3 linked regions of the Macaca mulatta genome follow. Each later gene encodes a partner of the first gene's protein in a complex. Links are inferred from orthologs where the notes say so. Each region holds a gene or a part of one and is shown in the gene's direction. Other genes may lie near its edges. The genes, in order: FBXL5, IREB2 and SKP1.

Region 1 (3,648 bases):
TAAGCAAAAAGAACAAAGCTGGAGGCATCATGCTACCTGACTTCAAACTATACTACAAGGCTACAGTAACCAAAACAGCATGGTACTGGTACCAAAACAGAGATATAGACCAATGGAACAGAACAGAGGCCTCAGAAATGACACCACACATCTACAACCATCTGATCTTTGACAAACCTGAGAAAAACAAGAAATAGGGAAAGGATTCCCTATTTAATAAATGGTGCTGGGAAAACTGGCTAGCCATATGTAGAAAGCTGAAACTGGATCCCCCCTTCCTTACACCTTATGCAAAAATTAATTCAAGATGGATTAAAGATTTAGATGTTAGACCTAAAACCGTAAAAACCCTAGAAGAAAACCTAGGCAGTACCATTCAGGACATAGGCATGGGCAAGGACTTCATGTCTAAAACACCGAAAGCAATGGCAACAAAAGCCAAAATTGACAAATGGGATCTCATTAAACTAAAGAGCTTCTGCACAGCAAAAGAAACTACCATCAGAGTGAACAGGCAACCTACAGAATGGGAGAAAATTTTTGCCATCTACCCATCTGACAAAGGGCTAATATCCAGAATCTACAAAGAACTTAAACAAATGTACAAGAAAAAACCCCGTCAAAAAGTCGGCAAAGGATATGAACAGACAGTTCTCAAGAGAAGACATTTATGCAGCCAACAGACACATGAGAAAATGCTCATCATCACTGGTCATCAGAGAAATGCAAATCAAAACCACAAGGAGATACCATTTCACACCAGTTAGAATGGCAATCCTTAAAAAGTCAGGAAACAACAGATGCTGGAGAGGATGTGGAGAAATAGGAACGCTTTTACACTGTTGGTGGGAGTGTAAATTAGTTCAACCATTGTGGAAGACAGTATGGTGATTCCTCAAGGGTCTAGAACTAGAAATACCATTTGACCCAGCGATCCCATTACTGGGTATATACCCAAGGGATTATAAGTCATGCTACTATAAAGACACATGCACACATATGTTTATTGTGGCCCTATTCACAATAGCAAAGACTTGGAACCAATCCAAATGTCCGTCAGTGATATACTGAATTAATAAAATGTGGCACACATACACCATGGAATACTGTGCAGCCATAGAAAAGGATGAGTTCATATTCTTTGCAGGGACATGGATGAAGCTGGAAACCATCAGTCTTAGCAAACTATCACAAGGACAGGAAACCAAACGGTGCATGTTCTCACTCATAGGTGGGAATTGAACAAAGAGAACACTTGGACACAGGGCGGGGAACGTCACGCACTGGGTCCTGTCGGGGGGTGGGGGGCTGGGGGAGGGATAGCATTAAGAGAAATACGTAATGTAAATGATGAGTTGATGGGTGCAGCAAACTAGCATGGCACATATATACCTATGTAACAAACCTGCATGTTGTGCACATGTGCTGTAGAACTTAAAGTATTAAAAAAAAAAACTGCTTATTGCCTAGGGCTCAGATGTTGTCTCTATGTAGAGATTTTTATTGTAAATAGCTTAGTTTTCCATTATTGCAGGCAATCTGATATTATTTTGATCCTTTTACTTGTTTATTCATCGTGTAGGTGACTGGTATAGTGGTCCCGCAACTGAACTTGATACTGAACCTGATGAAGAATGGGTGAAAAATAGGAAAGATGAAAGTCGTGCTTTTCATGAGTGGGATGAAGATGCTGACATAGATGAATCTGGTAAGCTTGTTTGAAATTAAAATTATTACATAGTGTTTTAATAATTATATATTAAGTACTTATAATTAATAAGTACTAATAATTAGGTATTAGATTTATGTAGTTTGTATTTTCTAAAGAAACGTGTTTCTACGCCTACTACTTTTTAAAATTTGAAGGAATAATAATAACATTTTAAATTAATTGTTTGAAGTACTTTAAAGAGTGCATAGGATTATTTCTCTTGTTTTTATATTAAAATAAAAAACCAGAAAATGGTACCATTTTTTCTTATGGAAATAACGTATGTTTATTATAGTGCTTTATAGTTTACAATGTGATTTTAGCGCCACTTCAGATGATCAGTTGTACAGCATCTATTGAGTCATATGTGGCTTGAGGGAAATAGGATGAAACTGTTAAGTTGACTTACTCATTTGTAAATAGTCTTAATATTTGCCTAATGAGGTTATTGTAGAATTAAGAGGTAATATACATAAATATTCTTTGTAAATGGTAAGGGATTACAAAAACTAATGTAGCCATTCATTAAACACTGTGGGAGAGTTCAAGGGTGGATAAGACTTAATCGCCACTCCAAAGAATTCACAAACGAGAGAGAATTTAGAAAACATAATTTTTTTTTTTAAATTTATTTTTTATTATTATTATACTTTAAGTTCTAGGGTACATGTGCATAATGTACAGGTTTGTTACATATGTATACTTGTGCCAAGAAAACATAATTTTTACTTTAAGGTACATGTTGGAAAAATGCTGTCATACTTGTGCAGAGAGATGCTGTTTGAAAGTGTGAGGAGGACGACAAATTCTGTCTTGGATATTCTAGATAATACTTACTAAAAGATGGTAAAATAGTAAAAAATGAACAGATGAGACATTCTTCTAGTTGGTAAAACTGAAACTATAGGAACTTTTTATAAAGTTACCTGCTTAAAGTAGTTTGATCTGGCAAAAGAACTAAATGTGGAAAAAAGAAACATGGAAAGTAACAGTGCAAGTATAAAGATTGTTATATCAGCAGCTAAAGTAGTTTATTTTTATGAAAAGCAGATGCGCTACATTTTGATAAAAAGATTCAAAATGTCATATATAAGGAAAAGGTCTATTCTAGTTATGATAGATTTGGTGATGTGCTTACCTGTGGCAGGCATTGTTTTAGGTATGAAGGATCTAATGGTGAACAAAATGGAAAAAAAAAGAAAAAACTGGCCCTTGTTGAGCTTAAAATTTAGAGACAGGAGGCAGACGATAAATACAGGTAAAATATGTTCCGTATTAGATGGTGACAAGTGTTGTGGAGAAAAATAAAACAAGGAAAACATGCCAAGAAGAATTTAAAATTGTAGTTTTAAATTGAGTGATTAGTTAAAGTCCTTTGAGAAATTTGAGTAAAGACCTGAAGGAAATGAGGTATTTGCTTAGATGTCAACTTAAGGAAGTCTCAGTTTATTCATTCTGGAAAATTAATTCATAATACTTGTGGTAAGAATTTTGAAGGTTCTAACAAATTCAGTATATTTGTCTCAATACTTGAAGATGGAGCAAAGACTGTCAATTTCCTTGATACCGAAAAGGAAAAGTTAAGGGTATAAAGATTGAGCCTTTTTAGATAATGTATCTGTTGATTATTAAAGACTAAACTGCTATTTACTTCAGTGCTTTTTTCAGTTTAGCTGCCTTGTCTTTACTTGTCCTAAGAAGTTATTGTTTTTCATAGAATGTTTAACTTTCTTAAAAAAGATTTCACAGTTCCAATTACCTTGATTTGATCATCACACATTGTATACAGGTATCAAAGTATCACATGTACCCCCAAAATATGTATAATTATTGTATATCAATAAAAAATTAAAAATTTAAAAATTTCATAATAAATAGTGTACCTTTAGATAGTGAGGGCCAAAGTAATTTTTATTTCCTTATATTTTATCTTCGTG
Region 2 (3,648 bases), on another chromosome or scaffold:
TGAGCAAAGCACCAGCTCAGATACACAGAAGTAGGAGATGTGGTCTTAGCTTCAAGATACTTAGTTGGAAAGACAAGACAAACAAATATAACCAAATAACAGTTACAGTATAAGAAAAGATACCAAGTATGCACAATGTCTGTGAGTTGTGTAGGTCAGTTCAAAAAAGAAAGAAATCTTACAGTTTGCATTTATTAACTGAAAATTGTCATAATTTTAGTTTTATGAGGTTATTGGGTCTATAATACATAAGTTTAAGTTGTCCCTGAACTTTGGAGAAAGTAACTTACGATTTTTGGGCTGGGCGCGGTTGCTCACGCCTGTAATCCCAGCACTTTGGGAGGCCGAGGCAGGTGAATCACGAGGCCAGGAGTTTGAGACCAGCCTGGCCAATATGGTAAAGCTCCGTCTCTACTAAAAATACCAAAATTAGCCAGGCATGGTGATGCACACCTCTAGTCCCAGCTACTCAGGAGGCTGAGGCAGAAAAATTGCTTTAACCCGGGAAGCAGAGGTTGCAGTGAGCCGAGATCATGCCACTGTACTCCAGTCTGGGCAAGAGAGCGAGACTCCATCTCAAAAAAAAAAATTACATACGTTTTTTATGTAATCCAAAACAATTGATGCTAGTTGTGCAGGAATTGTTTGGTTTTGAGACAGTGTCTTGCTCTGTTGCCCACACTGGAGTGCAGTGGTGCAGTCACAGCTCATTGCAGCCTCGACCTCCTAGGCTCAAGCAGTCTTCCTACCTCACCCTCCTGAGTAGCTGGGACCACAGGTGTACACCACCACACCCAGCTAATTTTTATATTTTTAGTAGAAACAGTTTCGCCATGTTGGCCAGGCTTGACTCAACCTCGTTGCCTCAAGTGATCCGCTCATCTCAGATCGGATTACAGGCCTGAGCCACCACATCCAGCCTAGCTGTATTTTCAGTGTCTGTTTTGGAACATATGAGTCATCAGTTCCTTTGCAAAATGGATAAATTTTCGATTTTTTTGCTTTTAGAATAGCATCTGAAAGTAATTTAGAGGACGGTGCCTGTAATCTTTTAGTTGTATCATCTTGGATTTATTGTCAGGGACTCTTCTTGGGTTTAACTGGTTGATAATTAAGAGATTACTCCTATCAGAGTGCCCAGTTACAGTGCCTCTTTTGGGACCTTTGGTCAGGTTATTATAGCCAGGTCCTCTTTACATTTTAAACCCTTGGATGGAAGTACAGAATCAATTATTTTAAAAGGTCATGTTATATTCCTAGCAAGTAGTATTTGGGGGAATTATCTTGTGCATTGATAAGTGCTGTTAAGGCTCTTCAAAGATTTGCATTCAGCTTTGAGACCCGCCTGAGCATTTTTATTTTTTATTTTACAAAAAAAGTAGCTGGGCCTGGTGGCGAGCGCCTGTGGCCCCAGCTACTCAGGAGGCTGAGGAGCAGAATTGCTTGAGCCCAGGAGGTTAAGGCTGCAGTGAATTTGTTCAAATAGCATGCCTGAGAGTTAGACTTGATTGCTCAGAATGTTGTGAAGTGAATATATTGATGAAGGTTAATCCATGTGTCATGAATAGTCTTTTAAGTAATCTTATTACAGGGATAGAAATACAAGATAAGACTTATCTTTTCTCTATAAATATTGTGATGTGCTATTCAGTCACATTTATTTTTTGAAATGCAGATTTGAAATCGTTGGTTATGGATGTTCAACTTGTGTGGGAAATACAGCCCCCTTATCAGAAGCAGTTTTAAATGCGGTAAAACAGGTAAAATGTGTGGATCGGCAAGCCATCTAAATGGTTTTCTTAACTATGTTTTGTTATTAAATTATAGAAAATATATATTGATGTGTTTATATTTCTGTAAACTCTGCACCTCTTGGCAGTTGCAACCTGTGAATGTTTAAATGATTGAAAGACTCATTTGTAGATCCTTGAAATAATTCCTTCATAATATAAGGAATTGATTTAGTTTATTCGCAAGATGGATAGTTCTGTATTTAAAAGTTAGTAATATGTTTTTTGGTTAATCTCGCCCTCAGACTTTAAGATTGGTTATATATGATTATCCAAATTTGTACCATCTCTAGAATTGAATATGTATGTTTGTGTGTTTGTGTTTTTTTTCCAGGGTGATTTGGTTACCTGTGGAATTTTATCTGGAAACAAAAATTTTGAAGGTCGTCTTTGTGATTGTGTTCGTGCCAATTATCTTGCCTCTCCACCGTTAGTGGTAGCTTATGCCATAGCAGGCACAGTGAATATAGATTTCCAGACAGAACCTTTAGGTATCTTTTCCTTTATGTATATGTATACCTATACATATGTTTCCCCATAGAAGTCATTATATTTTTGAAATGTTTCTTAGACCATCTATTCTTTGAATTATTTCAGGAAAACTTATGATAATGTATAGTTATTAATTTCTGTGTTTATGTGAAGAAAATAAAATGTGCAGGTAATTAGTTCTTCCAGCCGCTTAAGCCTGAAGCACCCAGTTGAATCATTTACTTGATGTCCATAATATGTCTTTGAAAAGGTATGAACATTTTCAGAGAGTTATTTTTTTACTGAGTGTCATGTTCAAAAATTTTAACCAGGTACTGACTCCACCGGCAAGAACATTTACCTGCATGATATTTGGCCTAGTCGAGAAGAAGTTCATCGAGTAGAGGAAGAACATGTTATACTATCCATGTTTAAAGCATTAAAAGATAAAATAGAAGTAAGAGTCTTATGTGTTTCTTAAATAGTTTAATCAATTTGCAGTGTTCTTTTATTTCATATATCTTGTTTTCTGACTAGAATAAAAATTAAAATTACGTTATTTTGAATGCGGTTTTCAATGTGTAATAGTTTGTATCTGGAATCTATAATTAAAAAGCAAATGGCGGCTGGACACAGTGGCTCACGTCTGTAATCCCAGCACTTTGGGAGGCCAAGGCAGGTGGATCACCTGAGGTCAGGAGCTCAAGACCAGCCTGACCAACATGGAGAAACCCCATCTCCACTAAAAATACAAAAAAATTAGCCAGGTGTGGTGGCACATGCCTGTAATCCCAGCTATTCAGGAGGCTGAGGCAGGAGAATCGCTTGAACCCGGGAGGCAGAGGTTGCGGTGATCCGAAATCGTGCCATTGCACTACAACCTGGGCAACAAGAGCAAAGCTCCATCTCAAAAAAAAAAGGAAAGAAAATGTCTTAGAGTATCAGAATTGATTAGTGTTGATTGGATGATCCGTGCAGCAAACCATCGTGGCACACATTTACCTGTGTAACAAACCTGCATATCCTGCATATGTACCCCAGAAGTTAAAATAAAAGTTGAGGGGGAAAAGAAAGAATTGATTAGGTGTTCAGAATACATCAGTGAACAAAACCCAGAATTCTCCTGGGGAGAGGCAAATAAGCTGTAAAGAGAATAGTTATATAAATTATGCAATTTTAAAAAATTATTATTTATTTTTTGGTGTTTCTTGGGAGATGGCGCCCCACTCTGTCACCCAGGCTGGAGTGCAGTGGCCTGAACCAGCTCACTGCAGCCTTAACCTCCTGGACTCAAACAATCCTGCTCCTCAGCCTCCCGAGTAACTGGGGCCACAGGCGCTCAGGCCCAGCTAATTTTTTTATTTTTTGTAAAATAAAAAATAAAGAT
Region 3 (4,447 bases), on another chromosome or scaffold:
CAAAGTGCTGAGATTACAGGTGTGAGCCTCCATGCCCGGCCCCGAAATCTCTTTTAAAAGTAGGCATTTCTTGGTGATTCTAATAAAGGGGGTTCTCAGACATATTTGGAAAAGCATATACCTACTTTTACGCCAGACCCTGTGCTGGGGCCCCAGGCTAGCTGTATGACCTGACACTGCACAGTCCTGCTTAGGATGCTCAAGGAGAGTTTATAAGGTATCACCCTGCATACCATAGGCAGGGGAGCAAAGGGGCTCCAGTGGGCCCTGCCTAGGAGGCCTGAAGCTGGAGCTGCTGAGGGCAGGGCTGTGCTGCTGAGAAAATATCTGAGAGCTGCAGGCGTTTCATCTTCTGTCATCAGCTGTGGCACCTGGCAGACACTGGATACCACAGCTTGTAGACAAAGACCTGGTAACTCAAGAAGCTGCTTGGCATTCCTGCCCAGTCCCATCCCAGAGGCACTGTACGTCTCCGGTTTCTTCAGGGGGCCCTGTGTGGAAGTATCTTTTGTCTTCCTGTGTCAGGGATACCATCACGTGCCTATTGGCTAGACGAGCCCGGCGCCCAGTCTCCTAGGACAGGGAGAATAACGTTCCCGAGCAGAGCGGGGTGGGGCTTTCAGACTACTCCCGTTCCTTTACTGCAGGCTTCATTCCATCGACCTCATCACAGCCTTCCTGGGAGCACCCCAGACAAGAGTTCTGTCCAGGCCGGGCCCTGGCTGCCTGGTTCACTGCCGAATCCCCAGCACCACGCCTCGCATGTCGGGCTCAGAGCATGTTTAGTGAAGGAATGGGTACCTATTGCTAGATGGAAGCCATCTCTCTAGATTTGGGGTTTCCCTACGACGATGGCTATTTTTGGCACGGAAGCCTCTTTAGAAGTCAATAGTAGGAAATAAGGGCTAACGGCACCTAACTGTGGAGTAATGTTCAAATCCTGGCTCTGCCACTTAACCGTTCCGAACCTGTTCCCTCACTGCAGAGGCGAAAAGGCTAACACTATTTCACCTCGGAGGGTTACTGTGGAGAATGGAGGCTGGACAAGCTGTATCAGTTCAGTAGTAAAACACACACACACAAGCGCCCCCCCATCCCCACCCCAGGAATGAACACACACACACCCGCGCGCGCACACACATACACCTCAGGAATGAACACACGCGCGTACACACACACGCAGCCCCTCCCAGGAATGAACACACACACACACGCGCGCGCGCCCCGTTCTGTTGTTCCCAGGAACACACACATAGGCGCACACACGCCCCGTTTTGTTTTTTCCAGGCCGTTTAGCTGGGGTATTTTACTCGGCTTAGGGCGCCCCTGCCTGAAAGACCTTTCTAGGCCAGTCAGGGTTCGGCACCCAGTTGATGAGAGAGCGCGGCGCTTTCAGAGCTAGGGAAAGGCGAAAGCTCTCCCGTTCCCCAACCCCCCGGCCAGCCGCCCCGGCAGCTCCTCGTCGCCTCCCGGCCTGGGCCCGCCCCGCCGTCTTCGGCCTGCCGTCAGGCGATCTCGGCGGCCAGCCCAGCCGCTGTGTGACGCCGCGCGCCCCGGGGTCCTCGGCGCCTGCGCCCTCTCCTATAAAGCAGACGCCGCGCCGCGCCGAGAGGCTGTAGTGGCTTCGTCCTCCGCTTTTCTGTTCCTCCGCTGACGTCTCCTAGCTCTCGTCAGCCTCCCGCCGGCAGTCTCCTTAACACCGAACACCGTGAGTAGCCGCCCACTGAGCTGGAAAGGGTCGTGGCTCCCGGATTGCATGCAGGCTGGCCTCACTGCTGCGGTTTGGGCCTGCCCGCGGCGGGCGGTGACTGGGCCTGGCCTTCTTTCGGGCCCGGTGGATCGTGTTGTCGACCCCGTTCTTCGGGAGACACCATCAGGTCTCGTCCACCCTCTCCGCCCCCGATTCAGCGAGGCCTGCTCTGGCCGCGCGTCCTCACAGCGCTCCATAAGTGTGAGCCGAACCCCGGGCTGGGCTTTCTCTGCACCGGCCGAGCGTCAGCCGGCGCAGGCTCGGCTGCAAGGCCCAGGCTATGGCCGGGGGCCTCTCTTGGCCTTAAGCCTGCTGTCCCGGGGACTAGGGCGGGGGTGGCGGCGGGGTTGTGAATGGGGGTCCCTTGGCTGTCGTGAGCATGGGCGTGTGTCGGTGTCTGGCTTTTGTTGTGGTCGGGAGGGAGAGCTGCGGTGGTGGTCTGAGGCCGCCCGGTTCTTGGCTGCCATCCTTTCTCCCCCGTGTCTGGCGTCACTAGCTACCCGTCGGTCCTGGCTAACTGTGTGCGGGCGCCGAGTTTCTGCACATAGCCGCCTGTTCCTTGTAAATATTTCTTCGCGTTGTTTTGCTATGACTTGGAGTCGTTGAAATAACTATTGTGATAGCAGATACCATCTTCAGAGTGGTGTGACTTGTAAGAGCTGTGTATAACTTAACTCGAAGTGTCTGGCTTTTAAAGAAATAGGATGTCCAGCTGCTTTGGTTCACTTTTAGTGGGAACTTCACGTTTGGGTTTTAGGAACATGCATTTTTCCATTAGAGCGTCACAATAGAATGTATCTGTGTCATAGAACAATAGTCTCCTCCACTGTGCAGTCTAAAAAGCAGTGGCAGAATTTCGGGTCACTTAAAACGCAGGGGTTTTTTTCCCTTTATGATGTGATAGAACCCACTTTATGCTGGCCATGGAGAATTATTTACAAGTGCAGGAGCCTTTAGGCCTCTTTCTTTAGAATGGAATTGTTTTGAAAACATTTCAAATCAAAATTTCATCCATTATTACTTAAAAATTTTGCACTTTATTCTACTGTAACACTAAAACTTATCTTTTAGTTTAGTATTACCAAGTGCATCGAATTACAGATTTAACCGATTACCTACCTGCTATTTAGTAAGATCTCAACTCCCTTAAGAGTAACCCAATCCACGAATTTGACTATGACTAAGCACTTGAGTTATTTGAAAGAAATATGAAACGGTCGTCTTGCTTTTAGAGTAATTTTATCAACTGCATTGTTAGACTTGTGATTCTGCACTGTTCATTTCAGTACTATCTGATATAAAAATTACATGTTTAAATGTTTTATAATTAAAAATTGGACTCACGTTAAAATATTTTCTTTTGGAGATACCTTTTATTGTTGTCTTGTCACAGGAAGGGTCCTCTACTCTGGGTCCTTCTTCATTGAGCAGGGACAACGGCATTATTGGCAAGCGCTAAGCAACATGGAGAAGCAGACATGTTTGTGAATTGCAAAGTGAAATCTGATTCTCTCCAACCATGGATGAGTGAGAGTAGGATATTTCAGTGGCTGGTTTTAAAACACGCTTTACTTTTTTGCTTCCTTTGCCTAAGAACCTGTTTGCTTTGGGGTTGCGGACAATTGTCTCAGAGAAGCTGAATGAATATTTTAACCGATGTAATGGGTCATAAGTCTTTGAACATAAAATGGGTGTGATGCATGTTTTAAATGCCAAATGATACACTTTTGTGAAAATATATGCGATTTTTAATACAACACACCTAGAAAACTTCAGAGGTACCATAAGTTAATAGTGACATCATTGGATTATGAATACTTGAGAAGCATGGGCCTTTTAAAAGTTGTATGTGAATTTTAAGAGGCCTTGAATTAATCTGTACCAGGTATTGCTACTCTTTTTGTTGTTGTTTTTCTTTTATGTATGTTTTCTTTTTTAAAAAAAGAATTTGAAGATGGTAAGAAATTGTTGGACTTTTAATTTTAAATTCCTTTTTTTTTTTTTTTGCCAGAACTCAAGTCCTTTGGAATTAATTGCTTAACTTTTTTTTTTGACACGGAGTCTTGCTCTGCCACCCAGGCTGGAGTACAGCGGCGCGGTCTCGGCTCACTGTAAGCTCTGCTTCCTGGGTTCATGCCATTCTCCTGCCTCAGCCTCCCAAGTAGCTGGGACTACAGGCGCCCGCCACCACGCCCGGCTAATTTTTTGTATTTTTGGTAGAGACGGGGTTTCACCATGTTAGCCAGGATGGTCTCGATCTCCTGACCTCGTGATCCACCTGCCTCGGCCTCCCAAAGTGCTGGGATTATAGGCGTGAGCCACCACGCCTGGCCTAATTGCCTAACTTTTTATGTAAGATTATCTTTTTCCTAGTGACTCATAATTACTCTGAGTTAATAAATGCATTTTCAGAGCAAGTAATAGGTTATTATTATGGAGCTCTTGACAAGAGATCTCAAAGTTGGTCAGTTGGACAGTCAGTACTGAAAGATAAAAAGCGCTCTGAAATGAAGCTTCTTACTAGATTTAGGGAATTGTACTCACATCTGCTTATCTTTAAATCATTTTATTCTTGTGTATATGGTCTTGCATTGCCTCAGACATAAATCAGCATATTCTCATTTACTCTCTGGATCTGAACTTATCTTCACAGGTAGGTCTCACTGTGGGGAAAATTTCTGTCTTATTTGGTAGCCT

The links.
Region 2: the proteins of FBXL5 (region 1) and IREB2 are in contact, whole or in part, in a cryo-EM structure (PDB 6VCD), measured with the Homo sapiens proteins. The link is inferred for Macaca mulatta from reciprocal best matches to the Homo sapiens genes FBXL5 and IREB2. Residues at the interface, in NP_036293.1 of Homo sapiens: Asp656, Glu657, Tyr661, Cys662, Asp663, Asn664, Ile665, His669, Ala670, Asp671, Thr672, Ala673, Ser674, Gly675, Cys676, Gln677, Asn678, Leu679, Gln680, Cys687, Arg688, Ser689, Gly690, Glu691; in NP_004127.2 of Homo sapiens: Asp89, Phe90, Ser129, Asn217, Val220, Glu221, Arg224, Arg228, Ala758, Gly759, Ser760, Arg763, Asn764, Thr777, Pro778, Arg779, Asn782, Ser783, Tyr784, Gly785, Ala786, Arg788.
Region 3: the proteins of FBXL5 (region 1) and SKP1 are in contact, whole or in part, in a cryo-EM structure (PDB 6VCD), measured with the Homo sapiens proteins. The link is inferred for Macaca mulatta from reciprocal best matches to the Homo sapiens genes FBXL5 and SKP1. Residues at the interface, in NP_036293.1 of Homo sapiens: Ile205, His207, Leu208, Pro209, Val212, Ser215, Ile216, Tyr219, Leu220, Gln223, Glu224, Cys226, Arg227, Cys228, Ser229, Gln230, Val231, Ser232, Met233, Trp235, Ser236, Lys240, Trp245, Arg315, Leu316, Gly319, Leu320, Asn323, Val324, Tyr327; in NP_733779.1 of Homo sapiens: Phe101, Ile104, Leu105, Asn108, Leu116, Asp117, Cys120, Lys121, Val123, Ala124, Ile127, Lys128, Gly129, Lys130, Pro132, Ile135, Arg136, Phe139, Ile141, Asp144, Phe145, Glu149, Val153, Arg154, Glu156, Asn157, Gln158, Trp159, Cys160.

What each region holds. Positions count from the first base shown.
Region 1 is NC_133410.1:14,669,451-14,673,098, reverse strand, and holds part of FBXL5 (F-box/LRR-repeat protein 5), read left to right. Parts: intron 1-1,582; coding exon 1,583-1,708; intron 1,709-3,648.
Region 2 is NC_133412.1:56,633,741-56,637,388, forward strand, and holds part of IREB2 (iron-responsive element-binding protein 2), read left to right. Parts: intron 1-1,675; coding exon 1,676-1,760; intron 1,761-2,124; coding exon 2,125-2,281; intron 2,282-2,593; coding exon 2,594-2,718; intron 2,719-3,648. UniProt on the Homo sapiens protein: RNA-binding protein that binds to iron-responsive elements (IRES), which are stem-loop structures found in the 5'-UTR of ferritin, and delta aminolevulinic acid synthase mRNAs, and in the 3'-UTR of transferrin receptor mRNA.
Region 3 is NC_133411.1:143,076,084-143,080,530, reverse strand, and holds the start of SKP1 (S-phase kinase-associated protein 1), read left to right. Parts: upstream 1-1,608; 5' UTR 1,609-1,708; exon of another isoform or gene 1,709-1,877; intron 1,878-4,447. UniProt on the Homo sapiens protein: Essential component of the SCF (SKP1-CUL1-F-box protein) ubiquitin ligase complex, which mediates the ubiquitination of proteins involved in cell cycle progression, signal transduction and transcription.